2 linked regions of the Neodiprion lecontei genome follow. The main gene of each other region encodes a partner of the protein of the gene in region 2 in a complex. Links are inferred from orthologs where the notes say so. Each region holds a gene or a part of one and is shown on either strand. Other genes may lie near its edges.

What was found.
Region 1: the proteins of dehydrodolichyl diphosphate synthase complex subunit DHDDS (region 2) and dehydrodolichyl diphosphate synthase complex subunit nus1 are in contact, whole or in part, in a crystal structure (PDB 7PAX), measured with the Homo sapiens proteins. The link is inferred for Neodiprion lecontei from reciprocal best matches to the Homo sapiens genes DHDDS and NUS1. Residues at the interface, in NP_995583.1 of Homo sapiens: Arg37, Arg38, Glu81, Asn82, Lys84, Arg85, Arg159, His160, Ile162, Ser163, Val166, Arg167, Met169, Ala170, Trp171, Val173, Glu174, Pro180, Ser181, Ile183, Ser184, Glu185, Leu188, His199, Glu209, Val210, Arg211, Leu212, Ser213, Asp214; in NP_612468.1 of Homo sapiens: His137, Gln138, Pro193, Glu194, Lys197, Ala198, Ile200, Val201, Ala204, Gln205, Phe207, Cys208, Gln209, Val211, Ala212, Arg217, Pro218, Thr219, Leu221, Asp222, Val223, Leu226, Asp237, Pro246, Val247, Asp248, Ser249, Thr250, Leu251, Gly252.

The regions. Positions count from the first base shown.
Region 1 is NC_060262.1:1,017,544-1,026,661, reverse strand, and holds dehydrodolichyl diphosphate synthase complex subunit nus1, read right to left. Parts: upstream 5,729-9,118; 5' UTR 5,426-5,728; coding exon 5,122-5,425; intron 5,025-5,121; coding exon 4,902-5,024; intron 4,599-4,901; coding exon 4,349-4,598; intron 4,179-4,348; coding exon 4,088-4,178; 3' UTR 2,691-4,087; downstream 1-2,690. Other genes in the region: arginine/serine-rich protein PNISR, read left to right, coding at 1-22, 430-533, 612-777, 850-1,676; uncharacterized protein LOC107228169, read left to right, coding at 6,577-6,651, 6,942-7,077, 7,702-7,757, 7,852-7,983. UniProt on the Homo sapiens protein: With DHDDS, forms the dehydrodolichyl diphosphate synthase (DDS) complex, an essential component of the dolichol monophosphate (Dol-P) biosynthetic machinery.
Region 2 is NC_060266.1:23,979,656-23,988,078, forward strand, and holds the start of dehydrodolichyl diphosphate synthase complex subunit DHDDS, read right to left. Parts: upstream 5,442-8,423; 5' UTR 5,431-5,441; intron 3,936-5,430; exon of another isoform or gene 2,447-3,935; coding exon of another isoform or gene 1,488-2,446; intron 1,387-1,487; coding exon of another isoform or gene 1,210-1,386; intron 1,105-1,209; coding exon of another isoform or gene 951-1,104; intron 457-950; coding exon of another isoform or gene 445-456; intron 1-444. Other genes in the region: PH-interacting protein, read left to right, coding at 445-456, 951-1,104, 1,210-1,386, 1,488-2,446; dystrophin, isoforms A/C/F/G/H, read right to left, coding at 6,205-6,311, 6,785-6,892, 8,274-8,388. UniProt on the Homo sapiens protein: With NUS1, forms the dehydrodolichyl diphosphate synthase (DDS) complex, an essential component of the dolichol monophosphate (Dol-P) biosynthetic machinery.

The sequences.
Region 1 (9,118 bases), on a different chromosome or scaffold from region 2:
GCTCAGATCACTCGAAAACTTGGTAAGTTTTTTTATTCCAAATATACGATATCTCCCCAAGAGAGAGACTGCGAGAGGAACTATAACTCGTTTCATTGTGTATCGGCTTTTTTTTTCTTATAATAATTTTTGGTGCATAATCTGGGCGAGCAGGTTTTTGTTTCCTTCTGAGATCCGAGACTATGAATAATAAAGCACTCTTCGTCCAACTATATGTTGAGTTAGACCTCTCGCCAAGATTTCAGAGTTGTTATTAGATTTCAAACATAGTTCCATCGCACGTCTGGTTTCATTATGTCTCTGTCTGGCTGTGGGAATGATTTTTGAAAAAAAAAAGAAACCATCGGATTCAATGGTGGTTGCGTGCGACAAAGAGTTACGTGATCTTAATCATTGAGTCTGATTTAACTGGGAGTTCGTGTGTGGTAGGTCTGGGCATCTATGGGGCCAGCGACAGCGAGTCTGACGACGAGCAGAGCGAAGACGAAGAGCAGCAGGACGTCGACAGTGATGAGGAACTGCTGCAACTGAAGGTATGCTCGGTACATTGCGTGATAATTATATGAATTGAAGAATTAGATCAACAGTATGATCAGTGTTGGTTATTTCAGGAAGTCTGGAAGCGACGGCAACAGGCGTTCAAGAAGGTGGAGGAGGAGATAGAGGCTCAGCTTGCGAAGGACGAGGAGCAGGAGTTGCACCAGCAGCAGGAGGAAGATGGTCGTCATAACAAGCAAGAGGATAATCATATGGGTAATACTAGCAGCAATGACTTAGGTACGTTACACAAAATAATATTTTTATTGTTTGAAAATGATTGAGAGCGTAATTTGTGACGTCATACTTTAGTTGATGAAAAAGAAACGATAAATAATCAAAGAGAAGCATCAGAAACACTATCAAGCGGCGGACAAACGCCGCAGCGGCGAAGTGTTACCACAGATACAGCAAAGGCGAGGTCGCCGTCAAGATCGGCGGATTCAGAGTCTAGCAGTGGCGAATCCAGCAGCTCCAGTTCCAGTCTCGCTTCTGTGAAAACGGGCAGAAAATCTAATAGAGATAGTGAGAGGGATCGGAGAAAAAAGAGGTCAAAGAGCAGGAGCAAGTCGAGAAGCAAACACTCGAGATCCCGATCGGCCGATAACGATCATGGCCACAGGCACAGACACAGGTCTCGCTCGCGGTCGCGGTCGCAGTCGCAGTCTAAAACTCCAAAACGGCATCGCTCAAGATCGAGCAGCTATAGGTCAGGAAAGAAACACAGATCGAGATCTTGGGAAAGGAAAAGATTGCGGTCGCGATCCAAGGACAAAAAAAGCTCGAGATCGCGGTCGAGGAATCGAAAGAGAACAAGATCACGAACACGTTCACGGGGGAAGAGGAGATCGAATTCCCATTCTAGGGACAGGAGAAGGTCTCGATCCAGATCTCGTGACATCAGGGAAAGAAGAAGGAGTCGTTCTCGAACGAGAGAGCGGAGAAGGAGTAGAACCCGTTCAAGGGAGAGGAGGAGGTCTCGGTCGCGATCAAGGGATCGTAGGAGGTCTAGATCTTATTCTTCCAGAGGCAAAAAGAGGAGCCGTTCAAGGTCTAGAGATAAGCGGAGGTCACGATCCAAATCACGTTACTCGAGCCATCGTGACGGTAAGAAGTCATCGCGTCGGTACAGGGAGTGAACCTGTCCACCATTTTAAACCAAGGTTGTATTTATATTCTTATTATTAGAGATCACAGATTAAAACAGACTGGTCCATAGATGACAATATCAAAAAATACGCAATCACGGGCTTGCTTTTTTGTGTGTTTGCGATTCTATTGTAATGACTGGTTGTCGATAAGAGATACGGTAGACATTTCACAAAACAAGGGGGATAATATATTATTCTAATCTACATGGACACATGAATGTTCACAACAGACGCCATACGTTATTTTACATTTCGTCGGGTGAAAACCATCCAAACAGCAAAAACCCAATTCTTGTACCCGACTGAAATCGATCATCTGTATTAATCTGTTCCATAAAGTAATTAGTCGATAGCGTCTCAAGAGTAATTATCTGCAAAGTTTTAGAATCGAATCGTTCGTCTCGATTTTTGCTGATACAAAAAACAAGACAAAAAAGAAAATACGAAAAATATCACAAACCAGGCCAATATAAGTGTTCAGAATAGGTTTTTGGAATATCGTTTTGTTTCAGCTGGTACGATTGGCTTGGCAAACACGTCTACTTCATACCGCAGAACCACTTCCAGCTTTACAAAACTTCCGCTTTGTTTCATCAATGTTCAACACAGTGGTACAGTTTTCTTTTAAATATACTTAGCATCGTTTTTCACTCTCTTCCTTTCTCTTTCTATCTGTTCTTTTAACGAATAATGAGATGCACATGACTTGATAATCTTCTAATAAGAATGATAATAATAGTAATAGTGTCCCATTACAGTTCAAGTTGATATCAGTCAGTTGCCAAAACTTATACATATATAATTTAAAACGTTAACACGGACTAAAGCGTTTGTGTAAATAATAAATATATATTATAATCACTTAGATCCGAGAAAAATTTATTCTCTTCTTGCTACCTTCTTAAGATATAGCGGAAAATGAATTTTATTTTAAGGCCTTGTCTTTAACAGATAAATCTACTTAATCGAACCAATTATGGAAAGAAAATAAAACGCAGCTAATTATCATGAAATACTATGGTAGTTTATTGGAATATGGTTCATGGGTGATCAGTCCCATTCTAAACTGTATGATACGTTCACATATCTTCTTATTATTTATATAATTTATGTATACAATATTTAGATGCAGTATATACACACACGTCGATTCATCTGACCAATGATCACAAATTTTTTCCATGGAATATTTTATACTTATGATTTATAATAATTTACATCATCACACGATACATACCACTGTTGTGAATACATATTATAGGTAGTTTGTTGTCGGTCGGGGAAAGCAAGACAGGAATACTGTCTAAGCTGCAGATTTTATATTTCTTAAGATAATTAATCTGAAATGAACTTTTCTTACAATGCGTTTCACCTAGAAATTTTACGCAATAATTTTTCGCGCTAGATCAATATTTCCCGTACGGCTCCATAATTTATTCTTCACCTTTTTAATTGCTACAAAATATTGGAATATTTTCAAGTGTCGGAAATCGCGCTGAAGCTTGTTTTATACTTATACATGACAAATTTCATTCGTGAAAATAAAATTTCAATAATAATAAAAATTGCTCCATTGTACCATTTGAACAAAAATACATTACAGTTAGATGAATTTATTCCTGGTTGTTAAAAAAGCATAGGTGGCTGGTGTTATATTAAACATCAGTTTAATTATCAGTGTACGTATGCAAATAACACTTAAAATTCATCCAATATTTCCTTAATTTCATACGCATCTATTGATTATTAATTTAGATTAATTTAACGTCGTATAAATACCTTCTATACTGCAGCATAAGAAATTACTACTCCCGATAACAAAATTGTCAGCACGAGAACGGTGCATTGAAGCAGACTCGAAGAAGGACATCTTGTACAGTGATTGCAAATGTTTAAATGTTTACCGATTGTCTGCCAAAATTTTTACTATTTGTTCATATTCTAACATATAAGTAAGTAAATATGCTCAGCAATACAGGTTGTCACGTAAGTTGAGAGATGTAAGGAATAGTTGTTCCCTTTTATTTTTTTTAAAACCAACGAACTGCGAAATGTTGTACATACACGTGGGACAAATAATTACATTCTTGCCTGTAGAAGTTGTCCTTCTCTATTCACCGGGGCTCGGAATATCATAGAATCAAGAAAAAAAAACAATAGTACACCTGGCTGTACATACTACGTAGATATTTGTATATTTGCACTAAACAAGTGTTACCTATATGTCTCATTAACTTCCTCTTTTCAGTCTTTTGATCCATGGTTAGTTCAGCACGAAGTATGAATCCCCCTATATTCGTATGTATAGATACAACAACCTGTGACGATTGACCGGGTTGAATTTTCTTGACAGCCATATGATACGACGTGTTAAAATTTAAGATCCTAGCAATTTTTCATCACTTCCCGTACCGCTGTTCGCATTTTGCGTACTTCTCCAATAGGTTGACAAAATCATTGACTCGTATATTGTGATGACTCTCCAATAGGCTATAAAAGTAAATGTATAATAAATAATTTAAAGACATACCAAGCATATCGAATTACAAAGTAAGTTACAACTTGAATGAAAATAACGTTCGCCATGCAGTTTCCAAAAGCGACAACTTTTTTATAGTACTAATAATTAATGATTTGGAGTCACCTATTGCTCAACTTACAGGAATTCCGTGGTCCTTATGTGCCATGGAAGTAGACCATACGTGCTACACGTTTTTCCACAAACAACAGCTAGATCGGGATCAGGGAGTCCCCCGAGTTCTAGCTTGTTCTCAAGAAGGTCAGAATTGATTTCTTCCAACTTCAGTGCTCCAGTGATTACCCCCTTTCCCAACGATTGTGTGAGTAGTGCCACTTCCCTTTTTCCATCTGTGTAGGACAATAGCTGCACTTGCAATTTGTGCTTCACACCTGTGAAATGCGGTAAAAATCTTTATCGAATTCAGTTCAGGCCACAGGGCATGGGATAAAAATGGGGAAATTTATGACATTAGTTTCGATTTGCGTGCAGGTTTTCAAATATTATATTTCACCAGTACCGAACCTTTGGGATACATGAGAAAGTTTTAACTCAATTACGCGACAGGAGACATAGATCGAGTGCAGCTTTGAAACACGTTGGAGCGATTAAAGCAAGCGTTGAATGAAAGTTATGACTATAAGTGATAGATTTTCTGTGATGCGTTTAGTGGCAAGTTGAAAATGCAGATGTACCATTGAGACCGTTCTTAACGGCTTTCACTGGACACGTCGAATTCCAGTTGACATGATCGACCAGCTCGGGTTTGAATTTAGCCAGCGCTCTCCTGGCTTCCTCTTCGTTCTTTCGCAGTATACCTGAAGAAGTGATAAGAGGTGAATAATAAATTGCAAACCCAGAACGGTTGCACCGTCGGTTAACAGTTGTCACATGCAACATGTACCGTATAATTACCATCGTAATCGTAGAAACTGACGCAAGGTATGCCGGCGGTTGCCGACCACGCGATAACGCGGACGATATCGCGAAGCGAGGCTCGTTCGCGTCCTAGAATCAGGACAAGATGCTTCGGGAGGCGGGTCTGATCGACCCTCCGAACGCAACGTACGAGGTAATCGGCGTCCGTAAGGACTTTGCTTCTACTGAGGTTAAATAGTTCAAGTTGAGCCGCGTCCGTCCACGCCTTCCGCAGGAGGGTGATAAACGCGTAAGAAATATGCAGGAGGGTCAGAAGCGCTCTGTAAAACTTGACGAACATATTGTTCCACGGTATTTTCACCCACTTTATACACCATAATAAATACGGGGATCTATTTATCAACTCATAACACAACGCCGCGTGTACGTCTGATTCATTCACGTTGAGGACTGATTACTACCTGCTACGGACAGCCACGGGAACACCGTCTTCGGGGCTCGGGCACGGCGATCAGCTGCTACGTCGGCCAATCACGTGCTGACATTTCTCGATTTGTATGTGGAACAGCGTCTCGACCGTCTCGACTTTGGATCGCCGCTGAGTTGACAAAAATCAAATGGTCCATATCGACTCCGTTCGTATTTTGTGTCAACGATTTCGGTGTATCGTTCATCGATTTTTACTATCGATCTTGCAACAATTGCCACCCGAAATTCAAATTTCGCGCTTTCGGCGGCCATGTTTTATATAGGGTACGCCAACTGGTGGCAAGAATGTGAGCTTAGTGGGAGGATTTATTAAATTTTTATAAAGCAACTTCCGGAATGTCATTATTGAAACGTTTTCGACGTAACGTATTTGTGCATCCACGGATGCAACAAATTATTTTCAACGATGACATTACGAAAGTTGATTTATAAAAATTTAACAAATCCGCCCACTAAGTTCACATTTTTATCACCAGTCAGCGTAAAAGTCATGTCGCACCGTCCCTACATCATTGTTTGTCCATAGACTGGTCAAATTCGGTATGAAACTGTTAAAATAATGCTAAAAAAGAACAGACTTGTAAAATATTAATGAATTGTGAATCCAAAAATAACCCTGCGTAATAATTTAGTTCTTACATTATTGTAACCCAACCACAGTTAATTATTTCTGAAACAGTGCTCAATTGACTCACGATACTTCCGTGCCAGATGGCGTTCAATGGCGTTGTTTCCGGTGCCGTTCTTTGCATCCTGACCGTGTAGTTGGAGGTGAGTCAGACATATTGTTAACCGAAATATACTGATTAGTGATTGAATTGGGGGTTAAATAGTGGCGAGAAAAGCTTAGACGTCGTATAATTGATCGATTCTGAATATACGAAGCTGTTTGAACCTGCAAAGACCGTTTCGATAGCGTTGGAGCCCCGATCACTTTTCTAACCACACGTGTTTACGGCGTGACACTGATCGTGTGATTTTTCATACCAGACAGACCTCATCATGCAGTTACACATCCGCGGACAGGAGTCCCATGTCATAGAGTGCCATGGCGATGAAACCATCGGTCACATCAAGGTGAGCCTCACGATTTGCTGTCCAGATTATCCCGAAAAGTTTGGAAAGTTCTGGAAGAGTTCTTTAATTGGCCTGTCAAGCATTATAATGATAACCCGGCGACAAGGAATCCTCTTTTGCTGGAATGAGCAATAATGCCAGATTAAAATTAATCCAGATCTCAGGGAGCCCGAAGTTGCATAATTACTTCCGGCTTTTCATAGACCTTGAACAAGACAAACTTACAAAATTTAGTATTTTCTTTCCGGATCCCTAAATTCGATTCTGACTTGTCGTGAATTATTTTCTAGGCGCAAGTAGCAGCCATCGAAGATATTGACGCTGGTAGCCTCAGCCTTTCCTGCGGAGGAGCTCCCTTGGAAGACGATGCTCTTGTCTCCGAACTCACAGCCTTATCCTTGGACTTGACCGTGCCCTTGCTTGGAGGTGAGTTTTTCTTCTATGTTTACTTCTAGTTTCGTTTCTTCACTATGCATCGTCGACTTTCTACCTCTGCTATCGTCTTATGTCTGATATTTAAGCAACGATGCAAACTTATATGGAACTCTATTAGCGGTAATGAACGTCCAGCTGTTTTCGATCTCCGCTAAGTTGTCAAACGTATTTCGACGTTGAGAAAGTATTCGCTGTTTGAGATCTTGTTTTATTTTCTGTGTCGATTTCTTACTGATTTTGTGAAAAAGTGACACTCTGATGCTCAATTGTGTCAGCAATAGCTGTTTTGTTGGAAAATTATACACACTGTAAACGAATGCCTGGAATTTTGCAACTTTGAGATCTGTGGAAGCCCCACAAAGTCATCTACTGATATTATCTGGAATATAATCCCACTTGAAGAAAATGCATTAAAATGATAAACTGTTCGATGGTCTTTGTCATCTAACGGAACGAGCAATAATGCGATATCACAAAGCAGTTTAAAGTGAGTCTATAGTTTATCATTGGCTTTAGTCTTTCATGAAATTGCGACAAAACATACCTTTTCATCATTACCATCATGATTTCCATATCTGAATCTATCTTATCGATATTTTTTCCCCTGTTCGTTAGGTAAGGTGCACGGATCCTTGGCTCGTGCTGGAAAAGTAAAGGGACAAACTCCGAAGGTGGGTAACAATAGTTTGAAAGAAATGTCGACTTCATTTCAATAACCATTTGTAATGATAAACATAATAATCACACTGATCTCTCCGTTTTTAGGTTGAGAAGCAGGAAAAGAAGAAGAAGAAGACCGGCCGTGCTAAGAGGAGAATACAGTACAACCGACGATTCGTTAACGTAGTGCAAACGTTCGGTCGTCGTCGCGGACCCAACGCTAATCCTAACACGTAAACAGATTCCTCTTGTATTCAATAAAATAAGGACGACGACGACGATGATGATGTAAACGCGTCGCGTTTTTGTAATACCATGTAATTATAAGAACAACTGATAATACACATATGCGTCGCAAATTTTTACCCTTACAATTATTAAACCCAAGTCCTTTACAACAGGTTAACATGGTATATAAGTATCCCGAACCTTTATTACAAGTTAACACTCAAGTGATAAATAACTGCGTTCACTTGAGCAATATCTGAAAATTTTACGGAGATAGGAAAGATATTTTTATAATTTATTCTCTACCGAGTGGTAAATTTTCGTATGATAATTGAGTATCTGAAATGTCAGAGAATCTTGTAACTGGCCAATATTTTGAATGTGATCGTTAATCTGCTAGGTCCCTTCAGGTAGAGTTTGGTAAACACCAAACGTGATCCGGCAAATCTACATGCGCAGCGTAAACATCTCTAATTATAGGCAATTCAAGGTACCCATGTACACCGAGCAGAACTTCGAATTGCGGATTTTTTTCTTGAAACCGATAGCGCTCGGGTCGCCCCGGCGTAACTCGGAGCGGCTCACAATCAGTGAACTTGTACCTTCAGTTGCCTATGATCGGGAATCGCTGTGTAGTCCGGTATTTACTCCTGATGCTGCCTGCAGCGGCAATTCAGTAATATAAACATCTGACTGCGTTGAGGGCGCAGTTCGCGTCGCTCTTTCGACCTGTCGCGACTTGCTTCAGAGCAGCGGGAGTGTAAACATGCATTCCGACGGTCCGACATTTATATCGTATTGTTCAAGCTGTGTCACGTGATTCGATCAGTGTATTCACAACAAACTCATCGATGAATAATACACGACCGGCAGCGTATGGCCTAGAGAAAACAGAGATTCTGCAGTAAGCATAGCCTGTCAGCATTGAAGGTGAGTTACATGTCCAGCGAAGCCAATTTGTTACTTGAGTTTCAGTGAATTCGCTTATTGTGCATACTCGTTGTTAGAAAAGTTCGTTAGCCGCAGAAACAAATGACGTCGCTTTTCTTTGTTTGGCGAGTTCGAAAAATTCGTTGCAGTAGTTACAACGCAGAAAGCGATTAGAATTGAGTGATACGTAGGGTTGGGAAAAGGGATCTTGGCA
Region 2 (8,423 bases):
ACGAAATTGGGAATAATTAAATATCAAGCATTGTGAGTGACTTGTATCAATTTCCAACCGATTCCAATGTCATGTTGTAAATTTGACGAATACTTTTGGACCAAAAGTATATCAGGAAATTGAACAACTTTTGTTGAAACAACCGATTTTACAATATTACACAAGATAACATCGCCGATTATTTGTTCTTATCACATTTATTTTTCACACTGTGGTAACTAGCCACTTACCAGAATGTACCTACAAAACGTACGCTAGTGATAATTACTTAATTTAGCACGCTTGATAAATCCTGATGGTAAAATCTATAAAAATGAACAAAATAATCGTACCGTACGTAAAAGAGTTAACTACTCAGCTAGTTCCATTCTGCTAAGTAATACTTGCAGTGTTATTCATGATAGCAGTTTAAATATTGTATAATTGCATTGCTGCTTGACGTAGACACAGATTCTGGTAAGTCGCATTCATTTATTGTTAATCATTGGTGATGCAATTTCAGTGTACACAAGATCTGCCATCGATATTTCAGTATCAATTTCAGTTCTAATATATTATGCCTATCATTTCGAAGATTCTTAATCAATTTGTTAACAACATTAGATTGTTATTCATTTTTTATAGTTATCTTGTGACGTTGATAGTAATCCATTGCTTGCGCTCCTTTGCTGGTTCCTTTAAAAACGACGGTCAATTTCTTAAATACACCTTCTTGCTCCGCAATCGTCCATCTTACTCTAGTCTATACCCCACAATAATCAATGAATTCCTGTACGACAAATCTCGTCATTATTTGTTAAGGATCTCCCTTAATGCGCATATTTCAACCTTGTATATATTTGCATACTTCACCACAATTGGGCTATTTTCATTTTGGCATGTCCAAACGGTTGGACTATTGTGGAGCATAACAATAACATCTTCATTTCTATTTTATATTATCTTGACAGATATATTCGATGACAGTAAGACTTTCCGCCATGTTTGAGGAACATATGCGAAGGATTTTGTACAACTGGAAGTCTGCTAGGAGACGCAGTCAAATCAACAATGGGATGGCTAAAGGGAAAAGGAAGACCTCTGCACGTTTAACTAACGGAGCTGGTAAGATTCACTCACTCTTGTCTTTGGATGCAGGCGTGCTATGACGTCATTTTTTTATTACTTATATAGTATTTTCATTATTCACTATTGTTTATCTTTTCACAGGCTCATCAAGAGTGAGACCACCCCCAAGCAGTGCCGAAGAAGAAGAAGAAGAAGAGGAAGAAGAGGAGGAGGAGGAGGAGGAGGAGGAAGAGGCGATGGATGTTAATAATGTCGACAAAAATGAAAGACAATTGGCACCCAAAACCACCAGGACTTTGCAGAATGCTGATGGACCTGGTAATTGAATACGAAGCTTAGACACGAGTATTTAATGTTAATCTTATGATTCGTTGTCCTTTTTAATTGGCTTTTTTATTTTTTTTTTTCTTTTTTGTCAGGCCCCTCTCGACTAGCTAACGGTCATGGTACCAGAGCTGGTGGCGGATCTCGTCCAAAGATTAGTCTCAGGATATCTCGCAAGGTGACACCAAGTAAAAAGAATGGTAACAGCGATAGCGATCAAAGTGATGATTCTGAAGCGACGATTGAAAGTGAGAGCAGTGACAGTGCTCCGATGCGGAAAACTCGGGCGGCGAGGAGGACCGTGGTTAGCAATGGGGCGGGTGATAGTGATTCTGGGGATAGTTACAAGCCAGGGGGGCGTGGCAAACAGACGCGAAAAAATAGGGCTAAGAATGGAAAGTCTAGTCGACAGAATAAACCAAAAGCTAAACCGTTCGTAGTTGCGGATGACGATGATGACGAGGATGAAGATAATCAGTTTATGGAGCCTGAAAGTACAGAGGATGAAAGCGAGGCGGAGGAAGTTGTTACGAGAAGTTCGAAAAGACAATTGCGAAAACTCGCGCCTGTTCAAGATGTAACAAAGCAACAAGAAAAAGAAGACGAAGATGAAGATGACGATGAAGAGGAAGAGGAAGACGCAAGCGAGGACGAAAAAAGTAAGGAAGAGGAAAGCGACGATGAATCGGACGAAAAGGAAACTCGGAGACAATCTGCAGCTCAAAGATTGCGTATCAATCAAGATAGTGACAGTGAAACGTCGGATGTACCCTTCGAAACTGCGAGAAGTAAAAGAAACGAGAGAGTGTCTAGAGATTCTGACAGTCAAGACACCGGCATCCAACCTCGAAGATCTGTTAAACGACCTCGTTATAACGTAGATAGCGATGAAAGTAATTCCGTACCTATAAGAAATCGGCGAAAAATTAAACGGCGATATTATAACGAAGATAGCGACGAAAGCGTACCCGAACCTGCCATTAGTATCAGTAGTAGAGGAAGAGTTAGAAAAATGACTGCACGTGCTAGGGCATTTCTTCTCGAGTCACCCTAGCGTCCGTCTCCGAGTTAGTAATAGTTGAAATGATCAATAATCAGTTCTCAGAAATTACTGATCGGAAAAAAAAAAATTTCCGTAATTCATAATCAGATAAACCCGGTCTAGGAAAAAGTGTTCAGACTAATCCAGTACTCACTTTAACCACATGTTTATAGAATGTCGAAAACCGACAGGTAATTGAACATAGTGAATAATGATTACGTCTGATGAAAAAACCCCAACTATGAAAATTATGCGCAATAAGGAATCAGTTTACAATTTAAATAATATTTATCCGTCCAAACTTTATCCAAGTTTACTACAATCAAGAATTTCACCAACACATTTGAGTCCTGGATGAAGGTCTGAAAAACGTTCAATAAATTGACAAGGGTCTGTAACGAACTCTTACCATTCGGAATTTCGAATCCGTCTTACCAAAGACAACACAAGATATACATAGATCAATTATAGGTAAATATGTTCAACCATCTGAGTTAAATCATGAGATAGCGGACCTCGAAAGCGGCAGTTGACTTCAATTCGAGGACAGGGAACAGAGTATTGTGTCTATATTGTACATGTAATAATTTATACCTTTGTTGCATCCAAAGTAATAGTCTTTTACAATATTGTTTTATGACAACACCTCTCTGTTCAAGAGCGTTGTAATAATAGCTAGCTAATACAGTTAATACTTCGTTACTCATATGCGTTTTTCTTACATAATTATTAATAATATTACAAAGTGATAAATATCTTTGGGTGTGACGGTCACATTTTTTCCGAATAAAACGTTACGCTCGTAGGCACGAATAAAACAAGAGATAAAATAATGAAGAAAAAAAAACAATAAAAAAACGAAATTTTGCATACAAACAAACATCAGAGCAATTGTAAGCTACTCTCCGTGGCATTTTAATTCACGAATATGACATATTAGTAAAGTTTTATAAATTCTTGCAACGACACGATGAGATCATTAAGATATTTGAATTAGAGAAAATATTTTTGAAAACGAATTCAATTGACTATGTTAAATTATGATTCATTTTTTCCAGGTGTACTTATGTTTTAAAATACGTTTGCCTGACATATTTTTTTTAGATCATAAGATATAGAAATGGCAGTGCCTTTGTAAATCATAGTTATTCTCCCAGCATACTGCCACTCATTTAGCATAAAATTATTGAATCAATCAATCAATCAATCGATGATCAGGAACGGTTGAAAAGAAGAATAAATAATAATATAGTGTTTGCATTGTTAACAATTATTTTATTGTAATTCGTAAGTCATTTGTTACCAATACATTGGGTAATAAGAGTGTTTTTCTAAAAGGCGTGCAGCGTCGTTGCTTTTTTTTTCTCTTTTTCATTTTATTGTAAATATAATGTTTGTCCGGGCAGCGCCCTTTTCCGGACTACTTAGAATCGGAACATTTATCGTCAGATGATATGTGTGTTCCTCGCTTACATCACGCGTATAATAAGTTTCAAATTATCTTTGCGAGCAAAAATTATAACAAAGCGAAAATTGACATTTTCATTTCTTTTTTTTTTTCCTTTTTAAATAGCACATTCATAAAAAGACAGTGTAACGAGCCAGGAAAAATGGAACGAAAAAAAGAACAAGAACATGACGTAAATGAAAAAACTGTTTAAAAAAGGTTAAAAAAAAAACCAACAAAACAGTTGCGGTTAAATTCATAAATGTTTTTTTTGCTTCCCTCCTCAGTTCAACCGCTGCAAAAATGCTCTTTCCGTATATAGGTATATAAAACGTGTGTATTGTATTATAAGATCTATTCATATATTATTAATGTATAAAAAATTATAAAGTATACAATTCTCGAATCAACAAAGTAACGTGGATTAAGAAAATAATGTTTGTGCACAACTGCTGGAAGTCTTGACTGTCTCAAGCCATTGTGATATTAGCTTAAGAATTATATTCAATTAATAATAATAATAATAATCATAACAACAACATGATGGTAATAGTAGCATTAGCAGTAGTAGTTGTAGTAATAGCAATAATATTAATAATAGATATAACAATAATAATAATAATAATAATAATAATATAAATATTGATGATAAGGTAACGATGGTTATTTTTTTAACGAGGCATTACTATGAGCAGGGCATATATATCATGTCGATTTCACGATTTTGAAGAACATTTTGACTGAGATTGCTATAATTTGGCAATGTATTATGTACTACGATATACTGAAAATTTATGACTATGTTTATAATACAATAATTAACATATTTTCACGAGATATGACCTCTAAATCACTGTTGCATCAACGTAAACGTTGCGTAACTAAGTATACATACATAGGTATGTAGGTACGCCGTTAATTAACGATAATACCCTATAGAAGACTTATTACAGGTGAGTGATACGAATTAAAAGATGTTTTTCTTTATTAACGCGTGGGCTCTGTTTAATATCTAACGAGAACTTCGTGCTCAGTTATATACAGTGTAGTTTCTGCGTCCCACCGCTACGAATAAAAATTGATACGAAATTATTTCTAAACGACGTTGTGTCATTCAAACAGCGATCCCGTTTTTTGTACATACATTTAAATGTTTTACCGATATATTTTACTTACTCTTTGATTTTAGTGTTACTATGAAAAACTTAGGGGGCGTAACAACAGTTTACATTATACGATATACATGGTACGAAGGAGAATGTAAAAAATAACAGGGTCGATACTTTTATTGCGGAATGTGACAATTCAAAATATATCCAATCAATCGCTGTTGGAACATGATTTGGAGTAATGCTACGGTTCCATGAAAAAAATAACGATCATTGTGTTATCTTTCTTGCTTTCAATAATTTTACGGAACGTTTTATCCGAACAGTATCAAGAGAATCTCCCATGCCATTCGAAAGCTACGTAGTTTAAAATATATTTGTTTCCCAAATTTCTCTTTACTAACGTTCGGTTATAAACTTACAAAATTAGTGTAGTACACAATCGGAAGAGGCTTTTCAAAATAAAATCAAAATAATGTGATATTCTTTCTTTTATTATTATTGAATACAAAATGATTACTTCAACTTAAAAATTTCATTATTTTTTTCACTTGTGTGCTACCTGCAATATTGGCCTTTTTCAAACTCTACGGTAATTGATTGATTTTATTTATTCTGATTCTTGCCTTTAAAAAAAATTTAATGGCAGTGGTTAAACAGAATGGTCATGTAAATATAGTCTACACTCTACAGAGTATGCAGTTTGATACATTGCTTTTTCATGCATTAATAATATTATTATTATTATTGTTAATAATAATTTTATATATATTTATAATATTTTATCTTCATATTTTATAGCTACTAAGCATTAACAATTGATTCTTTGTATGATAGGTCCGTGATATGATAAGCCAATATGTAGTTGATTTCTTCTTCTATTTTGCAGGGGAGCCGCCAAAGCCAAGCCAAGTAACAGTTTACATATTAATTATAATTCAGCTATACAAATTGTATATCAAAACTTATAAAATACCCAAAACCACGCTGGCGGCCCTCATCCTGATCCTGCATTTCACGTAGTTAAACTACGTTCAATATGTCTCTGATATGCGTTAGAGCCAGACTCGTTCTTGGTCGTCATTTACAATTAGGTTTATAAACCGTACATACCTATAGTATGTATGTGTTAAATAGATGATATATTTAAGGGATAAATTACAGTCGTCTCATCTCGGTAATATCCAAGGATGTTATTTTAATATGTGTATAATCTATGGTTTAAATCCTGGCGGCGGTGGTGGTCCTCGTTGCCCGTTTGTTCTTGACGGATCTTCCGTCATTACTGTGACCAGTTCCTCGACAGCCTTACCCAAGTCTCCTGTAGATTAAAAAAAAAAAAAAATCTGCATTCATACGTGTTATCAAAATGAGACGTATCATGAGCCAGACATTAGCAATGTTGAAATAATAACATCGCGAATTAGTATGCAAACATACATTAATTATAAGAAAAAATCGGTAGTTTTAAAACATTTTTCATCGTCTCAAATACGTGACAGCGAATAGAGTAATCTTACCTCTTACATCCGTCCTGTTGCGTGAAAGCAGTTAAGCATGTTTTGTTAATTTATTGTATGAAATGTGATTAGTTTTACTTGTTTATTTCTACTTATATCGGATTGTTTCGCAGATGCGCAATTTCGATACGCCTGTGCGTGGGCAACCGATGCCAACAGAGTAGCACGGGTTGCCTGCACACAGGCGGACCCTATGGGTTCGCCTGCTTGTGCATCTGCGAATACGTAGAACAAACACAACAAGCATGCGATAATCCCTTTGAAGCGTACCGACCTGCCATGTGCATCAGGTTGCCAACGTTATGTGATATGCTGTGCGAATGTGGCGGGGGTGGCGGACGTTCTAGACTTCCTGCTCTGCCTTCACCCCATCCTCCACCACCTATGCCCATAATACTACCTCGTACACCAAATACCATACAGTTTTTCTATTCGGTCTCAGACCTTCGAACGCCTTGCAAATAATGGCTACGTGTTCACATCGGGACTAACGCTGGACGTTTAAACCAAGTTGACAAACTGCGATGAAATACTTGATGAGATTAGCGTTCGGTATGCTCTCTTCAAGTTCAAATTAGCATAATACACGCGGTAGGTACGTTAGAATCGCAACAAAGAATCCGGTATTTCTCTTTCACCTTGGCCGCTATTTTCAGACGATTCGAAATTGTGGGAAGTTTTAAACACATATAAGTAGGTAGAAACGTTGATGTTATATGACGAACATATTACAATATTAGCTTTTCATATGTTTATTTATTAACATCAACGTGGTCGTGTTTGTACCTATGTACTTACATATGTTTAAAACTTCCCGCAATTTCGATTCGTCGGAAAATGGCTGGACTGTTTTGTAGGAACGAAGCTAAGGCGAGATTTTCACGGGCAGTTTTTCGCTGTCGCAGCGTAGCGTTGCTTGTTGCGGCGGCATTTTGCTGCCCGTGATAATCCAGCCCAAGTTACGAAAGTTGCTCGCAGCGCCGTCTGCGACAGAAATTTGGCCCGAGAAACTTCTCCCTTCTCAGTTAGTTCGCCGCAGTCAACGATTGATGAAGTCTATGGTTTGACGCGTGCGCAATCTGCTGTCGGTCGCGAGCGGAAATATTAGTTAATTTAAACTTGTCACGACGCCGTATTATAGGTATGTGCGATAAACTTTCAGCGACATGTTTCAAGTGTGAGTGATTTGTGTGTGCGGTAAAATGAAGTTTCTGCGGGTAAAATTCGACTTTAATCAACTCGGTGCCAGGACGCAGCAGCGGGGTCACCTTAAAGGATGTTTTCAAACACGGTTGTCGACACAAGTCGCGCGGACTTGCCTCATTCCTGCTGTACAATCGCGAATATTGTAAGTTTGATGTACGGTATATTACGTTCGATAATCTAGTGAACGAAAGTTACACCAAGTGTCGTGTTATTGTCACGTTTGTGTACGCATTGTGCGCCGATTGCGTAGCATATAATTATCGGCGGTGATCAGTCGTTTAAAAGCTTGCATAAGGATGAAATGATTTTAATAAAAATAGACCGATGTTGATACCGTGATCAAAATAGCAGCTTCGACTATATTTTGATCAGACTGGATTTCGGTTAGTCGAGGTGATATTTTTTCCCGAAAAAATGATTTGACAACAAATTATCCAACTACCGTTAGCATGAATATGGGAGTTTATTGCGTGATTATATGATTTCTAATGTTTCAATGTCAGCATCCCAAAGCAGCCACGTGAACGTGAAGTGAAATAGTGGTAATAGAGACAAACCTGGAGAATCGTGATAATGCCCGTTCATCTTTGCCGGGGAATCAGTCGCCAGCTGCGACGCAGTCACGCTTCGAGTTTGCAGGGTTCCAGTCTTCGAGGGTGATGCTGCGTTTGGCTGAAAGGTAAGCGATCGTCTCTTACTTCCGTCGC